2 linked regions of the Diceros bicornis minor genome follow. The protein of the gene in region 1 purifies or fractionates together with the protein of each later gene. This does not show direct contact. Links are inferred from orthologs where the notes say so. Each region holds a gene or a part of one and is shown on either strand. Other genes may lie near its edges.

Evidence for each region.
Region 2: the proteins of AP1G1 (region 1) and AP1M2 purify together in Homo sapiens (affinity purification with mass spectrometry; 4 studies listed by BioGRID and IntAct, counting the BioPlex papers as one, with this or other methods). This does not show direct contact. The link is inferred for Diceros bicornis minor from reciprocal best matches to the Homo sapiens genes AP1G1 and AP1M2.

Annotation. Positions count from the first base shown.
Region 1 is NC_080771.1:23,534,171-23,541,365, forward strand, and holds the start of AP1G1 (AP-1 complex subunit gamma-1), read left to right. Parts: upstream 1-4,151; 5' UTR 4,152-4,461; intron 4,462-7,195. UniProt on the Homo sapiens protein: Subunit of clathrin-associated adaptor protein complex 1 that plays a role in protein sorting in the late-Golgi/trans-Golgi network (TGN) and/or endosomes.
Region 2 is NC_080769.1:8,687,743-8,695,390, reverse strand, and holds the start of AP1M2 (AP-1 complex subunit mu-2), read right to left. Parts: upstream 3,099-7,648; 5' UTR 3,045-3,098; coding exon 3,003-3,044; intron 1,997-3,002; coding exon 1,840-1,996; intron 1,641-1,839; coding exon 1,573-1,640; intron 1-1,572. UniProt on the Homo sapiens protein: Subunit of clathrin-associated adaptor protein complex 1 that plays a role in protein sorting in the trans-Golgi network (TGN) and endosomes.

The sequences.
Region 1 (7,195 bases):
CATGTACAACTATTATATAAAAAATAAAATATTGTGACATAAAACATCTCTGGTGGCACTTTGGGCTGCCTCTTTAAAAAAAATCACTAAAGCAAAGAGGGAGCTTGGCTGAGCCTCATACTCGCGGGCTTTGGTCTTTACTTTGAAGGAAAATATAGTAGATTTCCTAATGCTCTTGGTAGAAGGTCAAAGAGTACATGGAGTTGGCTGTTGGAATTTTAATTTTTACATCATTTCTGGCTCTTGTCATAATTGAAGAATTAATTCCTAAACGCTTTTCTCAGACCAGGATGAATTGTGACGAGGGACCACGCTTAAAAGAATTGTAAAAATGCTTTTTTCGAAAACACATAAACAACAGAGGGACTAATTTCTCTCTGACTTTCAGGCTTATTTATAGATTCTGGTGACTCAAACGATAACAAAACAGGCCAGTGGAGCTGCCTCTTTGGCTCACGTCACTCTATTTCCCACAGGGTTGCACCCCCTCTTCACTCTCCTTTCTCGGCTGAGGACTCGGGCACGTGGAGATGCAGGAAGAGTACCTTGTGAGAGATGCTGACCACATTTCTGCAGACAGAGCTTCCCCATCTGCTGTAAGGTCACAGGGCTTCAGCTGCTGATACTGAGTCATTTAAGAACACCACTGCATTTAAGACCAAGAGAGAGGGTCCCCTTCTAATACCACAATTCCAACTGACATGCCATGCCTTCCAAAAGCCCTGTCACTGCTCTGGCGCCCAGTGACCTCTCATTTTTCTGCTTTCTTTGGGGGGTACTGGGACTTATCTGCTGAGTAATAATATCAGTGATACTTTTATGTGTTTGAGGATTTTAAAAAAATATCTAGTTTTCCTCAATGAGATTATAATTACCTGGAGGGTAGGAACAATCTCTTTTGAAACGTCTATTACAGATTCTGTGCACGCAGAGCAGTGTGGTGTAGTGGAAGGACTCAGGCAGCTCGTTCACTGAATGATTACTATATGGGCTAAAAGATATATACAATGATGGAAGATCTAGATTTGAGTTTGGCCTCTGCTGTATGAAGATGTGACAAATCATTTAATATCTCTGATCTTCTGTTTCCTCATCTCTAAAGTGGGGATGATATTTATCCCAAAGAGAGTTCATATTTACTGAGCCCTTACCATGTGCCAGCCTCTGTTCTAAGTACTTTAAGTGTATCAGCTCGTTTTATTATCACACCAGTCTTAAGATGCCAATGCTACTGTTAACTCCATTTTACAGACAGGTACACTGAGATTCAGAAATGCTCAGAGATGTTAAGTAACTTGCTGCAGTTCACACAATAAAGAAAGGCAGGGCAGAGTTTTAACCCAGGCTTTTAACTACTGTGCTATAATGCCTACCTGGTTTATAAGCTCATGGTGGGTGAGGAACGAATGAATCAAAGTATATGAAAACACTTTTGTAAATTATAAGACACAATGCACTACTGTTATTTGTAGTGGGCAATCAATGAAAGCTTTGGTTGAATTGTGAGGTGGCACAAAATGTTTTTATACTTATATTTTCATGATGCTTGATACTTTTCCAAGTGCTTTCACACATTTCATTCCTCTGGGTAACAAGTGACTTTGAATCCATTTTGGAACAAGGCTAATCATAAATAAATATTGGACAGCTGAGGAAACACGCCCAGAGATGTTAAACACCTTGCTCAGGGCACAAAGTGAGTTGAACTCAGCCCGAACTGGCATCTGAGTGGTCTGACTCCTGGCTGATGCCTCTTCAGTTTTGTTTTTTGTTGTTATTATTTGTTAAGTTGAAGCATACAAGTTATCAATAATAAACTAAACCATGAAAATAATGATCTTTTCTCCCAGCCATTATCTCTTCCTAGAAGTTTGTTTAATCCTTTGAGGCTGTTGCTGTTTTAAACAGAAAAATCTCCTTCAGCATTTGGATGCATAAAACTGCATTATCTGATAAGAACTTTTTTTTTCAAAATGTAAAAGTCTTTTTTTTCCCAAATAAAAGTACGATATGATCATTGCGAAAACAAAACATAGTTAGGAAAGTAAAAATCCTCTATAATCCCAAGATTATCCCTTGGATCTCTATAATCCTATCCAAAGATAACCATTTTAGTTTTATCCTTCAACTTTTTTTCTATTTTTTATAAGCTCATTTTATAATACCATTTTGTAATATATTTTTCAAAATCTGGCATATCATAATAAAGATAGAGCTATAGTTTCATTTTTATTGGCAGCATAATATTCCATTTTATTGATGTGCTATAATTTATTTATCTGAAATTAGGGATTACCTTTGAGTAGATGGGGAGTAAGTCTTCCCAAACTATAATCTCTAGCCACAGAAGCCAAAGATCCCAGGACAATGATAACCATGCTATATATTGGGTTAATTGCTTTTAATTTTCAATGGCATTAGAGGAGGGGTTTGGTAATTATAAAGATAAATATAAGTAAAAATAAAAGATATGGAGGGGGTTTACATTTTATAATGTCTGTCATTTTCTCTTTAATGCTCTGCCATTTGGCATGGTTGGAAAAAAGCTCCTTCCTCTTTCTTAAGAAGATGGTTTAACTTTTGTGGTTCACAATGGTAAACATTTAAATTTGACCTTTAAGCAAATTTTTGTGACTTGCAAACGGAATACTTTAGCTAACTGCTTTGCAACCTGCAAACTCCTTACTTTTATGGGAGCCCCAAACTGTACTTTAGCATGTGTTCATGCATAGCTATACCTCAGAGGAATCTGCGTTACGGCATCATTATGGTGTTCTAGTTTTATGCTACTATTTACCAGGCATGTGATCCAGGGCTGCACTGCACAGTAGTGCAGCCCTGAAGGTATGAGGCGACTGAATTCTACAAGCATCCTGCTTCCCAAACCATTTGCTCTCGGTTGATTCCACCCTGAGTGTGCGGGTGGGGGCGAGTGGGTGTGTACCGTTTCCTAATTCCAAAGGTTTCACGCATAGCCGAAGCCCAGTCGAGGAGGAGAGAGGGAGTGTCTTTCAGCAAGTCACAGTCTCTCTGAGCCCCGGTCTCCTTATTTGTAAAACTAAATTACCTATGCTTGAATGGTCTGACTCAGGAAGTTGTCGGAGGGTCAAATTAGATTATACACACGAAGATGCTTTTATAAACAATGTGATATCAATATTTAATAATAAAAAATGATAATTACCATTATCACCCCCTTGCTCGCCTTTCTTTCCAGCCACTTGACATACCCCAGTAGTTCAAGAATAAAATTGTACAGGCGGGCCTACTGAGTTCACTTCTTGAAATCCCTGCATGAAAGTGGCTGTCTAAGGACAAAAGTGCAACCTCCTGAGTACGACAGGTCCTAAACTCAAGATTTGTGGTTAGGTCAGTTCTCTTTGGCATCCAGCCGGGTGCGGCGCTCTATTCACGTTCGAGGTAATTTATTGCGAATCTACCTGAAGGATTTTTGTTTAGTTAGGTTACTTTTCCTTTAAATGGGCCGAGATATCCTGGCCCTCTTCACATTCACATGGAAAATATTCGTGTCACGTGTCAGTAATTATTTATCAAGCCAGGAACTGTCTGGTTAGACTGTCTTTGGCTCAGGTCATTAGTTCATGGAGTCACAGTCAGAAAGCCCGCTCCGGAAGGGTAGACCAAATCTTTTTACATATGAGGAAACTGAGGCCCTGAGGGCTTAAATGACTTGTCCAGTGTATGAGGTCGAGCAGTGAGACTGGGCTTGGAATCTACTCTGTGTCATCCTCTCTTTTTATAAATATGTTGCAAAGATACCAAAAACCCACAGAATCCAAGATCACATGGAGCATGTTCCCGACGTTACCTAAAGAGAAAACTAAGGATCTCAAAGGTGCTAGAGTTTGGGATTCTCGTGGATTAGGACCGGCTCAGCCTGGCTGTGTTCTCCGCCCCCACCTACCTCGCCTTTCCCGCTTCCTTGACTACCTTGCGAGCTCCGCCCGCTTCAGGTGGCCCCCGCCGCTTCCTGACAGTCCAGCACTGCCCCCGCCGTCCCAAGCGGAACCAATGTCTGTCAGCCCCGGCGTCGGCCGGATCTTTCTCGCACAGACTCTTCGCAGCGGTGACTCGGCAGCAGCGTCTCGCGTCATCAGTGACAGCCCCGACTCTTGCTACGCTCTGCGTCGCTCTGCCAGGAGCAGTCACCTCCTCCTTGGCAAATAGTCCTCGGCGGGGTCCGAGTTCTTGGATAATAGGAGAGGGGAGGCACGGGAAGTTACAGTCAGGGGACGCGGAATCGACAAGAAGAGGACGATAGGGACCGAAGTTTCTGTGATAGTGTGTGAAGTTAGTTTAAAACTCCCTTCCTCCTAAGGATCCCTCCGCCTGCTCTAGCGGTGGTGAGGCCGAGGGAGCCGCCATTTTGGATGTTAGGTTCCTGCTGCCACTGCTGCCGCCGCCCCCAGAGCTGCTGGTTTCATTCGAGGTTTCGGGCCGGTGAGTGTCACTCGCGGCGCTAAGAGCATATTGCCTCTTTTGCCCCGCGCCTGCCGGGAGCCTTCGGCCAGAAGCTTCCTATCAATCCCAGGGGCCGGTCCCAGGCTGTGGGGGGTGAGAAGAGAGGACAGAGGTTGGGCCTGGAGCCTGGAGCCTCAGGGGCTGCTCTGACTTCTTGAGAGCCGACCCCGAGGCCTCGGACCGGCAGGCTCCGCTCGCGGCCGCGTTCCATGCTGTGGCGTTCCCCGGCTGGTGCGGGCCTCCTTGGACCCATTGACTTTCTCCGGCTGCGATCCTCATTTGAGGGCTCGTTCAGGGAGACTGGGGTTAGCGGGGAGGGTCCCACCCCCGCGTGTCTTCTCTGAGCCACATATCAGCGTTCTTGTATCTTGTACCCTGGTCAGGTCTTTCGTGGAACTCCCTTCAGCATTTCCAGATGCTCAGTTAATTGCTGTTTGCACCTGCAATGCCGTCCTCTCAGAACAGGACATCGGCCTCGCCTCCCTCTAACCTTCCGACCAACTTCTTTCCCAATTTTCCGGATTTTTTTTTTCCCAACTCACCTGCGAGTACGCTGCTTACCTTTCTCTCAAACTCCTGATCCTGCGGACGTCAGTTTCTAATAATTCTCCCGATCTTCCTGACTCCCTGAAAGAGTCAGGACGGTTGGTTACGTTTCTCTGTTAGGGTTTGCTGTAGGAGATCCGTTGAACCGCTCGCTCAGAGTGTACTTCAGCAGTAAATGTGTATAAAGCTGATTAAATGGCTTTTGGAGGGGTGGGAGGCTGTCACATATTTTCTCATTTGTGGATTCCCTTCCTGTGCTGAACACTTAGTTTTTCGGTACTTATTGACACTTAAGTATTTTTCTTCGTGTTATTTTATCCCTGGGCATGGAAATCTGCCTGTGAAGAAGAATCTTATTTTGATGTAGGGAGAAAGGAAAGTAACTTTTTTGTCTCCTGTAGGGATTGGTTAACAGAAGAGAGGAGTGAATGAAGATTTCTTAGTGATCTTAACTTTCAGGTGTTGTGTACACCTGATTTTTGCTGACTGACTCTAAAAAATACTTGGATTGACTTCATGTGTTGGATTTTTTCTGGGGATAGTTGGATTTTAAATATTCTACTGTTTCCCATAGTATTTGTTAGACTATATACACCTTAACTTTTGTTTTAAAAATATAGACTCTCCAGGTACCCATGATCTCATCACTTTTATTCCACTCTTAAAGTTTGTAATATAGCATGCTTGAATAAAAAGCGTTTCACAGTAATACACCAATTATTTCCTCCATTTCAAGTTAGGTGAGTGTGATTGAATCACCTCTATTTTATCTCATCTTGGGTTTTTACATCTGCAAAAGAGAAATAACTTATTTGAGATTACAGCCTAGTGACTGCTGAAATTTGAATTTGTAACTTGAACTGGATCACGTCTTTTAATACTTCTAATCCATGTATAAATGCATTCTTATCATCAGGTTATCAGGTAGGTAATTCCTGTACTGGACATCATATGACCAGTACAGGATATATGATGTAGAAGACTGAATGTTTTCATTGTAAATAGTCACTGTTCTTGTTATTTGTTTTAAGGAGACTTTTCACAAATATTTGTGTACTCTGAAGCTTTTGGTTTAAAGGAACTGTCAAACACTCAACATTTGTGGAATGGTCACTAATTTACTAAGTAGCTGGTTGTAGTTGCTACTGAAGTGTTTCATTTCTGAGTTACACTTTTAAAACAAGGTATTGCAAGAGCTATCAGGTGTAAATATTTAACTCAGTTCATTTCATGGTATAGTGTACTGGTTTTTAAATGTCATTCATTCTTAGGTGTTTTGCATTCAATTGGAGAAAATATCCTTTTGCCTTACAAATTATAAGCAAAGTGCTGTTTACTGCACCATTGATCAGCACAAACTTGAATGTCTATTTTGTCTAAGGTTGTTGGGGGGGGTGGGGAGTGGGGGGGGTGGTTACACTTGAAATTAACATTATTGTTTAGGAAACCTCAATTCAATTTCTTTTGGGAACAGTTGCTTGTTCTTTTATCTGATCTTTTTCACTGATAGCAGGTCTGCATTTGTGGGTGAATTTTAGAGTGAAACTATGAAGTACAAAAATTGTCAGCAATGCCTTGGTGATATTTCATCCTACTACTTATTTTTAAAAAGTAGTCTTGATATCAATGGTGTACAAAAACAGAAACCCAAGTTTTTTGTGACTTACAAAAACTCTATACAAACTGAAAAAGTTGAACAAGTATTTTCCAAAAGATTATTTTTAATTAAAAAAATTAAATTGGGAAACTACATACCAAAACAGATTTTTGAATGCTTAATCCCTTTATTTACATTTGATGAGGATTTTTAAATTTTGTGTATACAGCGGGACTTAATTGGTATCGAAACCTTAGAACTCTTATTTAGGTTTAACTTCAGAAAATCTAAAACTATCTTTCTTCAAACTGCAACAACTTGCTTAGCTGTTTTTGGTGCTTGTAATTCAGTCTTTGCTTTATGAATTGTTTTCAGTTTTTGATTTTGCCTTTCTTTCATTCCTTTGTTACTTTTATTCAGTTTCTTTTATGCAGGATAATATTTAAAGTAGGAAGCAATTTAAAAGAGAACATAGATTTATCTAAGCGTTTATATTTCTTGGCTTATAGGTTTTGAAAATCATATCTTTGTCAAAAAGTGTTAGGATTTTTCCATTTGCCTTTTTCTGTA
Region 2 (7,648 bases), on another chromosome or scaffold:
CTGGTGGGGGGGGGGACAGACACCCAGAGGTGTGGTTGTGTAGCTATGGCCATGGGCTGGGTCCCCACTCATTCAGCCAGCCAGCCAAGAGGCAACTATTGAGCGCCTACTGTATGCCTGTGCCGGACATTAATGGTGAACAAAACCAACAGCGTCCCTGCCCTGGAGGAGGGACTGGAAGGGCACAGAACTGTGTTTTGTGGACCGTGGGTTCCTGTGCATCTGTGATGTTTCTGGACCCGCCTCGGAATAAGGTTTGTGAAGGCATGAAATAAAATACAGGGGATGGCAAAGGAAATCTGTTATCTAGAAATGCATCTAAGATCATGGACTCCCTGAATTCTATCCTCAGGCCCTTGGGAGTTTGGGGACCTCGAGTTAAGAGCCCCTGGGAATTAGCAGGCATAACCACAGCAGAGAACCTGTCGGTCATCCAACATCTGAAACACTCTCCATCCCTCATTCTGCTCCAGCCTCACTGGCCTGCTTTCTATTCCTACCCCAGGGCCTTTGCATATGCTGTCCCCTCTGCCTGGGACACTCTGCTCACAGGATCCTTGGAATTCAGGCCTCAGCTCAAATGTCACCCCTCAATGAGGCCACCACCATCCCCCCAACCCCCATAAGTATCACCATGAGACCAGCATCCCAGCCACTGGAAAATGTCCTGTTTAATCTCCATCATGCCCTTTCACTCCTCAGGACAGCCAGGGACAGTCCCCTATGCATTGCTGTGTCCCCCCTTTGCCTGGCAGAGAGGAGACAAATCAATAAATATTTCTTGTTCGTTGAAAAGTCATTACTGAAGGGCCTGCCCAGTGGCACAATGGTTAAGTGCGTGCGCTCCGCTTTGGTGGCCCGAGCGTTTGCAGGTTCAGATCCCAGGTGCGCACTGACGCACTGCTTGGCAGGCCATGCTGTGGCGGCGTCCCACATAAAGTGGAGGCAGATGGGCACAGATGTTAGCTCAGGACCAGTCTTCCTCAGCAAAAAGAGGAGGATTGGCATGGATGTTAGCTCAAGGTGGATCTTCCTCACCAAAAAAAAAAAAGAAAAGTCATTACTGAGCACTTTCTCCGTCATCGATAATGGCATACAAGTGCTCGATAAATTGTCATGAGACAGTATAACATTGGTGATAATGCTGACAATAGGAAGCCTTTATGGAGCACTTAGTGTATACTGAGCATGTTTTAGGCACTTTATGGATATGAATTTGATTAATTGGTATAACAACCCCGAGGCAGGACTTGTTGTAACTCCCAGTTTTGAGGCACAGAGAGGGGAAGTGGCTTGCTCAAGGTCACACAGCCAGGCAGCAGGGGAGCTGGGATCGGAACCCGGTTCCCTCGGGCTCAGATTTGAGCAGTATAGCCCCTTGGAGACCTCCTTGGTCCCTGCCCTGTAGGGAGAGATGATCCGGTGGCAGCTGATGAGAACACAGTGATGGGGTTTTGATGGGGGCCCCCCAGGGCGGCCCGGGGAAGCTTCCCGGGAGAAACGGATCCTGAAAGAGGCGGGCAAGACGAGTGGACAGACAGATCAGCCGGCCAATGGGAGGCCGGGACCTACCTCCACCGTCTTGTACAGGAAGGAGTACACGAGGGAGGCGTTGGCGTTCTTCAGCGTGGTGGCCACCACTGCGGGCAGCGACGTTAAGGAACAGGTGCCATTTTGGAGGGCTCGGAGGGAGCACAGACCCCGAATCCCCACCCTGCCCCCCTCCAATCCCCAGCCTGAGCCACTGATGTGCTGTGCAACTCCTATCCTCAGCCCACCCTCTCTGGGCCTGAGCTGCCACCACCCAGGCCCCCAGGGCCCCTGCGCGCGGCCGGATACAGTAGAGGTTGCTGTGTTTGATCCACAGGAAGTGGACGCGGCCGTGGCTCAACAGCGGGGCCAGGGCGCCCTCCTCCTCCCGCTGCATGAGCAGGGGCATGAAGTGCTCGATCTCACTCATGGCCACATCGCCCTTGTAGTTGCGGCTGATCAGGGGCTACGGGTGGGCGGAGAAGGCCCGGTCACCACCGGGATCCGGGGACCCTCCACCTGAGGGCCCTCCGCCAGGCTCCGGCTCTTTGGGCCTCAGTTTCCTCCTCTGTAAAATGGGTACGTGATAACAACAGCTAACGTGTCCAGAGCCCTCCCTGAGGTCTAGGCCGTGTTCTACTGAAGTCTGGATGTTTGCTGACTGTCTTAGTTCTCACCACCACCCTGTGAGGCAGATAGTATTAACATCTCCATTTTACAGATGGGGAAACTGAGGCACGAACCGTGTCCATGATAATTGGGGAAACTGGAAATTGAATAAACGAAGGAAGGAAGGGAGGGAGGAAAGATTATAGAAAGAGAAACGAAAGATTATACCCATATATCTCTTTTAGCTCCTATAGTTTCGCCTGGCAGGCTGTAAGCAGTCAATAATAATAGTACCCACCTGATGATATTGTTTAGTCCAGTGTTTAGAACCTAGAAGACATGCAGCAGGTCCGCAGACACCTTAGCTGTCACCATTATTATTATCAGGAATATTATTTTCACCACCCCTGTTATTATTGCTATTGAATGACCAGATGAATGAGAGAGGGTTCCAGAAACGGACGGGGCAGCCCCAAAGGGGAATTAGGGTCCCCTGCCCCTCTATCTTCCCGCAATATTAAGACTTTGGATGGTGACGATGGTAAACATAATTTCAGTTGAATAAACGCCAAATGTTTGCAGCAGGGCTACGGTGGAAAGTGACTGACACGAATCGGGTGGTATTAATTCTTTTTGAGTGGGGACCCTTGTATTCCCCTGTTTACGGAGAGGGAGACTGAGGCTCAGAGAGGTAAACAGTGGAGGTGGGATTGGACCCGGGACTCCCAGGGATTGGGGGAGGGGATGTCCCCACGTGCCCAGGGCTTTCTGGGGCCTCCCCGCCTGCGAGGAGGGGCCGCTCCTGAGTCCGCGGGGGCGCAGCCTCACCTGTCCGTCCCCCCTCCCCTCGCGCCCAGCCTCACCTTGCCCTTGACGTCGAGGATGAAGACAGCCGAGGCGGACATGGTGGCGGCCGGCGGACCTGGGAGGCGGAGAGGGAGCGCCGGTTGGAGACGGCGGCGCTGCTTCCTTCTTCCTGCGGAAGCGCCCGCGCGCAGGTGTGCGCCCAGGTGCGCGCGTCTTAAAGGGGAGGCCGCCAGGTGAGCGGCGCTGTCGGCCGACGAGAAGACGCTGCGGGGGCTGCGAGGGGCGGAGCTTCGGATGCGACAGCTGCTCCGCCTCACTTTCCTTTTGCGCCCAGGAGTGCTGGTGGACGGAGACTCCAGACCAATCACCAATCCATCCATCCATCCATCCATCCATTATCTATCCATCCATCCATCGTCTCTCTCTCCATCCATCCATCATCCATCCATCCTCTATCCATCCATCCATCCACCCATCCGTCATCTCTCCCCCATCCATCCATCATCCCTCCCTCCCTCCATCCATCATACATCCATCATCTATCCATCCATCCATCCACCCATCCATCATCTATCCATCCATCCATCCATCCATCATCCATCCATCATCTATCCATCCATCTATCCACCCATCCATCATCTATCCATCCATCCATCCATCCACCCATCCATCATCTATCCATCCATCCATCCATCCATCATCTATCCATCATCTATCCATCCATCCATCCACCCATCCATCATCTATCCATCCATCCATCCACCCATCCATCATCCATCACCCATCCATCCATCCATCCATCCATCCATCCATCCATCCATCCATCCGTCATCCCTCATCTATCCATCCATCATCTATCTCTCCATCCATCCATCATCCATCCATCCATCCATTCATCTTGTTTCTCCTCTGTCTCTCCCACATGCACGTCCGCCCCAATAGGACAGGGTTTGTCCTGATCATGTCTATGTCCCCAGTGCCCACCACTGGGCACTCAATAATATTTGTCCAAGTCATTCATTCATTCATACAATAAATACTTACTGATTAATTTATTCTTTCACTCAAATACTCTCTAGTAAATTCTTTCACTCAGGAATTGTGGGTAGCATTCTGAGAAGAACCAATGTACCTGCTTTTTTTTTTTTTTGCTGAGGAAGATTCACTCTGAGCTAACATCTGTGCCAATCTTCCTCTATTTTTTAGTATGTGGGCCACCAGCACAGCACGGCTGCTAATAGAACGGTGTAGGTCCATGCCCAGGAACTGAACCCGGGCCGCCAAAGTGGAGCATGCCACCAGGGCTGGCCCCAGTGTAACTGCTTGTATCATTATTCCCAATGTTACTCTTATTCATTCCCTCCAAAAACATTTATAAGCTTCTATAACGTGACACTGAGATGTTGAGCAACTGTTGAAAAGATAAATGGTCATTATGATTATGACTATAATCATCATAATATTATTCACTCAACCAACATTTATGGAGCACCTACTGTGTGCTGAAGGGGACATGTGAAAGCTGCTTTCATTGTGGTGCTGATGACAATTGATACTGTTGGTGATGGACCATTCAGTGAGTGAATATTTGTTGAGCATCCTCTGTGGCGCTGTGGATGGCGACATAGGCAAAGCCACTCCACTGTTCTCGTTCTAGGGAGGGCGGGAGACACACAGCATAAGAACCCCAAAACAAGATGATCCCAGATGAGGATGGGAACACTGCAGGCAGCTGAACCGGCGACAGTGGGCTGGGGGTGTGTGCTGGAGAATGAATGGGGGGCTGTGATGCATGGAACTCAGAGACGAGGCCGACATTTGAAAAATTTCCACCACGACCTTATGAGCGGGACAATCCAAGAGAAGGAGTCTCTGCAGAGCCTGGCACAAAGCTGGTACTGATACTGTTTTTGCTGCTGTTGTTTAGATGTGTGCAGTTGAGCGTGCAGGCTCTAGAGCCAGCTGTCTGGGCTCAAGTCCTGGGTTTGCAACCCACGAGCTGCGCCGCCTTGGGGACCTGGCCTCCCCTCCCTGGACGTCGGTTTGCACATCTGTTAAACACGGTTAATTTCCGTACTTTCCTAATTAATTACAGCGCAGATGGCATGAGTTACTACACACAACGTGGTGCTCAGAGCAGTGCGTGGGGTGCGGCCGACCCTCCTGTTATTATTATTTGTTATTGTTATTATTTACTGTGTGGTGGTTAAGAACACAGGTGCAGGGGCCAGCCCGGTGGCACAGCAGTTAAGTTCACACGTTCCCCTTCAGTGGCCTGGGGTTCCCCGGTTAGGATCCTGGGCACGGACCTATTCATGGCTCATCAAGCCACGCTGAGGCGGCGTCCCATATAGAAGAGCTACAAATCTACAACTATGATACACAGCTATGTACTGGGTCTTTGGGGAGAAAAAAGGAAAAAAAAAAAAAGAGGAAGATTGGCAACAGATGTTAGCTCAGGGCCAATCTTCCTCAGAAAAAGAAAAAAGAACACAGGTGCTGCTGAATTAGCAACAAAATTCCTAAAGCTAGGAAAAGTTAAGGCAGGGAACCAAATCAAATGGGGGAAAAAAAAAAAACCCAAACCGAAAAACAAAACCATATTAAATCTTTGTTCTTGAAGATAAAATGCATTTTTCTCATTTTGGCTTGTGGCTGCGAGAAAAAATTCTGGGTTTCTGCCTTGTAACTATGTTTCCCTTACCAACGGGGACAAAGGAGTTTAATTTAGAAAATAAAACCTCCTAATGGAAATAGACCAGGACACTGCAAACGTTTCCTTCCGTAAACTCCTTGTTTAAAATACAAATTGTTTACATTGGAAATGCATGTGACATGAGAAACTTCGATTTGTTTCTTTTTAATTTTAAATAAAAATAGAGGCCGGCCCCGTGGCTTAGAGGTTAAGTGTGCGCGCTCCGCTGCTGGCGGCCCGGGTTCGGATCCCGGGCGTGCACCGACGCACCGCTTCTCCGGCCATGCTGAAGCCGCGTCCCACATACAGCAACTAGAAGGATGTGCAGCTATGACATACAACTATCTACTGGGGCTTTGGGGGAAACATAAATAAATAAAATTAAAAAAAAATAAATAGATAAATAAATAAATAAAAATAGAGGAAACTAACAAAAAAGAAATACACACAGTATTCCAAAGACTTGGTACAAAAAAAATCTCAGGAATAATTTTAATATTGATTACATGTTGAAATGATAAAAATTTGGGGTTAAATTAAATATATTATTAAAATTGGGGGGAAAAAGAACACAGGTGCTAGGTTTGAGTTCTGACTCCACCGTGGGCTGTGAGGCATTGGGCATTGCCTCAGTTTCCCCTTCTGTTAAAATGGGTGTAACAGTCGTGGTGTCACCTCCTTGAGCTGCACTCTCTGAGTTTGGGCGTAAATCCATGCCTGGCACAGGGTCTCAGCTCCCTGCCCCTCAGCTACTGGGGACACCAGGTTCCACCCCACAACTGTCTGCCATCTTAGAGGCAGGGAATTTTTGGGAAGGGAAATTAAGGAAGAGAAGGGAAATTCCATCTCAGCCTGGCTGGGACGCATCCTGCTCCACAGAGCGAGGGAGGAGTCTCCAGGGGGAGTCACTCAGCCCTCGTGGGCCTCATCCCTCATCCCTCATCCCTCATCCCTCATCCCTCATCCCTCATCCCCTCTCCCCTCCTTCCCCAAACCCAGCCCCAGCCCTTTACCAGCCCCTGGGAGTGGGCTGGGCGTCCCCACAGGGGACTCAAGGGAGGGAGGTGAAAAGATAGCAACTGACAGAACCGCCACTCAGCAACTGACAGAACCGCCACTCGCCTCTGCACCATATCTAACACCCACAGGAACAGGACGACAGCGGCAGTGGCCTCTCCTCGAGCACTTATCTTCCCACCTTCTTTGTGTCTTTTTTTTTCCCCCAAGTTTGTTATTTTTTGCTGTATTTGATTCTGGTCTTCCCAGTTATGGTTTTCCTGCTAATTCAGGTCCTAAGGGGAAGACCTTCATGTCTTCTTATGTTGGCAAAAGCCGAGGCACAGAGAGGTGAAGCCACTTGCCTGAGGACACACAGCAGGGAGGCAGTGGAGTCAGAATTTGACTCAGCCCACTGCCAACTGGTCTGCTCATTGCCGGATACCAGTATGACTGTTACTAACACATAGTTCACGCTTATGTGTGCTCGCTATACCCAGGCGCTGCCCCAACCGTCTCCCAGGTGGCAATCCTCCTCAAAACAACTCTTTGAGTTAAGGAAGCCTATATCTCCATTTGACAGATGGGAAAACTGAGGCTCAGAGGGCAAGTGACTTGTACAAGCCACCCAGGCCTCAGGGGCAGAGTTAGAATTCCACCCCTGCAAGGTGCAAGGTTTTACATTGCCTCTGCCCAAAAGAGGGGTGTCCTCCACCATCCTGCCAGCCCCTTGCTCAGCAGGTGACCCAGGGGGATTGAGGGCGCTGCCAGGCCCTCGCCCCAGGCCAGGCCCTGTTGAACCTCCAAAGGGTCCTTCTTCTGGGACCCTGGGATGTTTTCAGACAGTAAATAGAACCCCAAAGCCTGGACCCAGCACCATGGAATCTGAAACTAAGGCCTGTTTGGCTGAAAAATTCATGAGCTCAAAAGCTTCAGTGGGGTCAGAGAACAGAGCAGCTCTGTGTGCCCAGCTGCCCCGCCTCAGCTGCCACCTCCCCCGTCCCCAGGGGC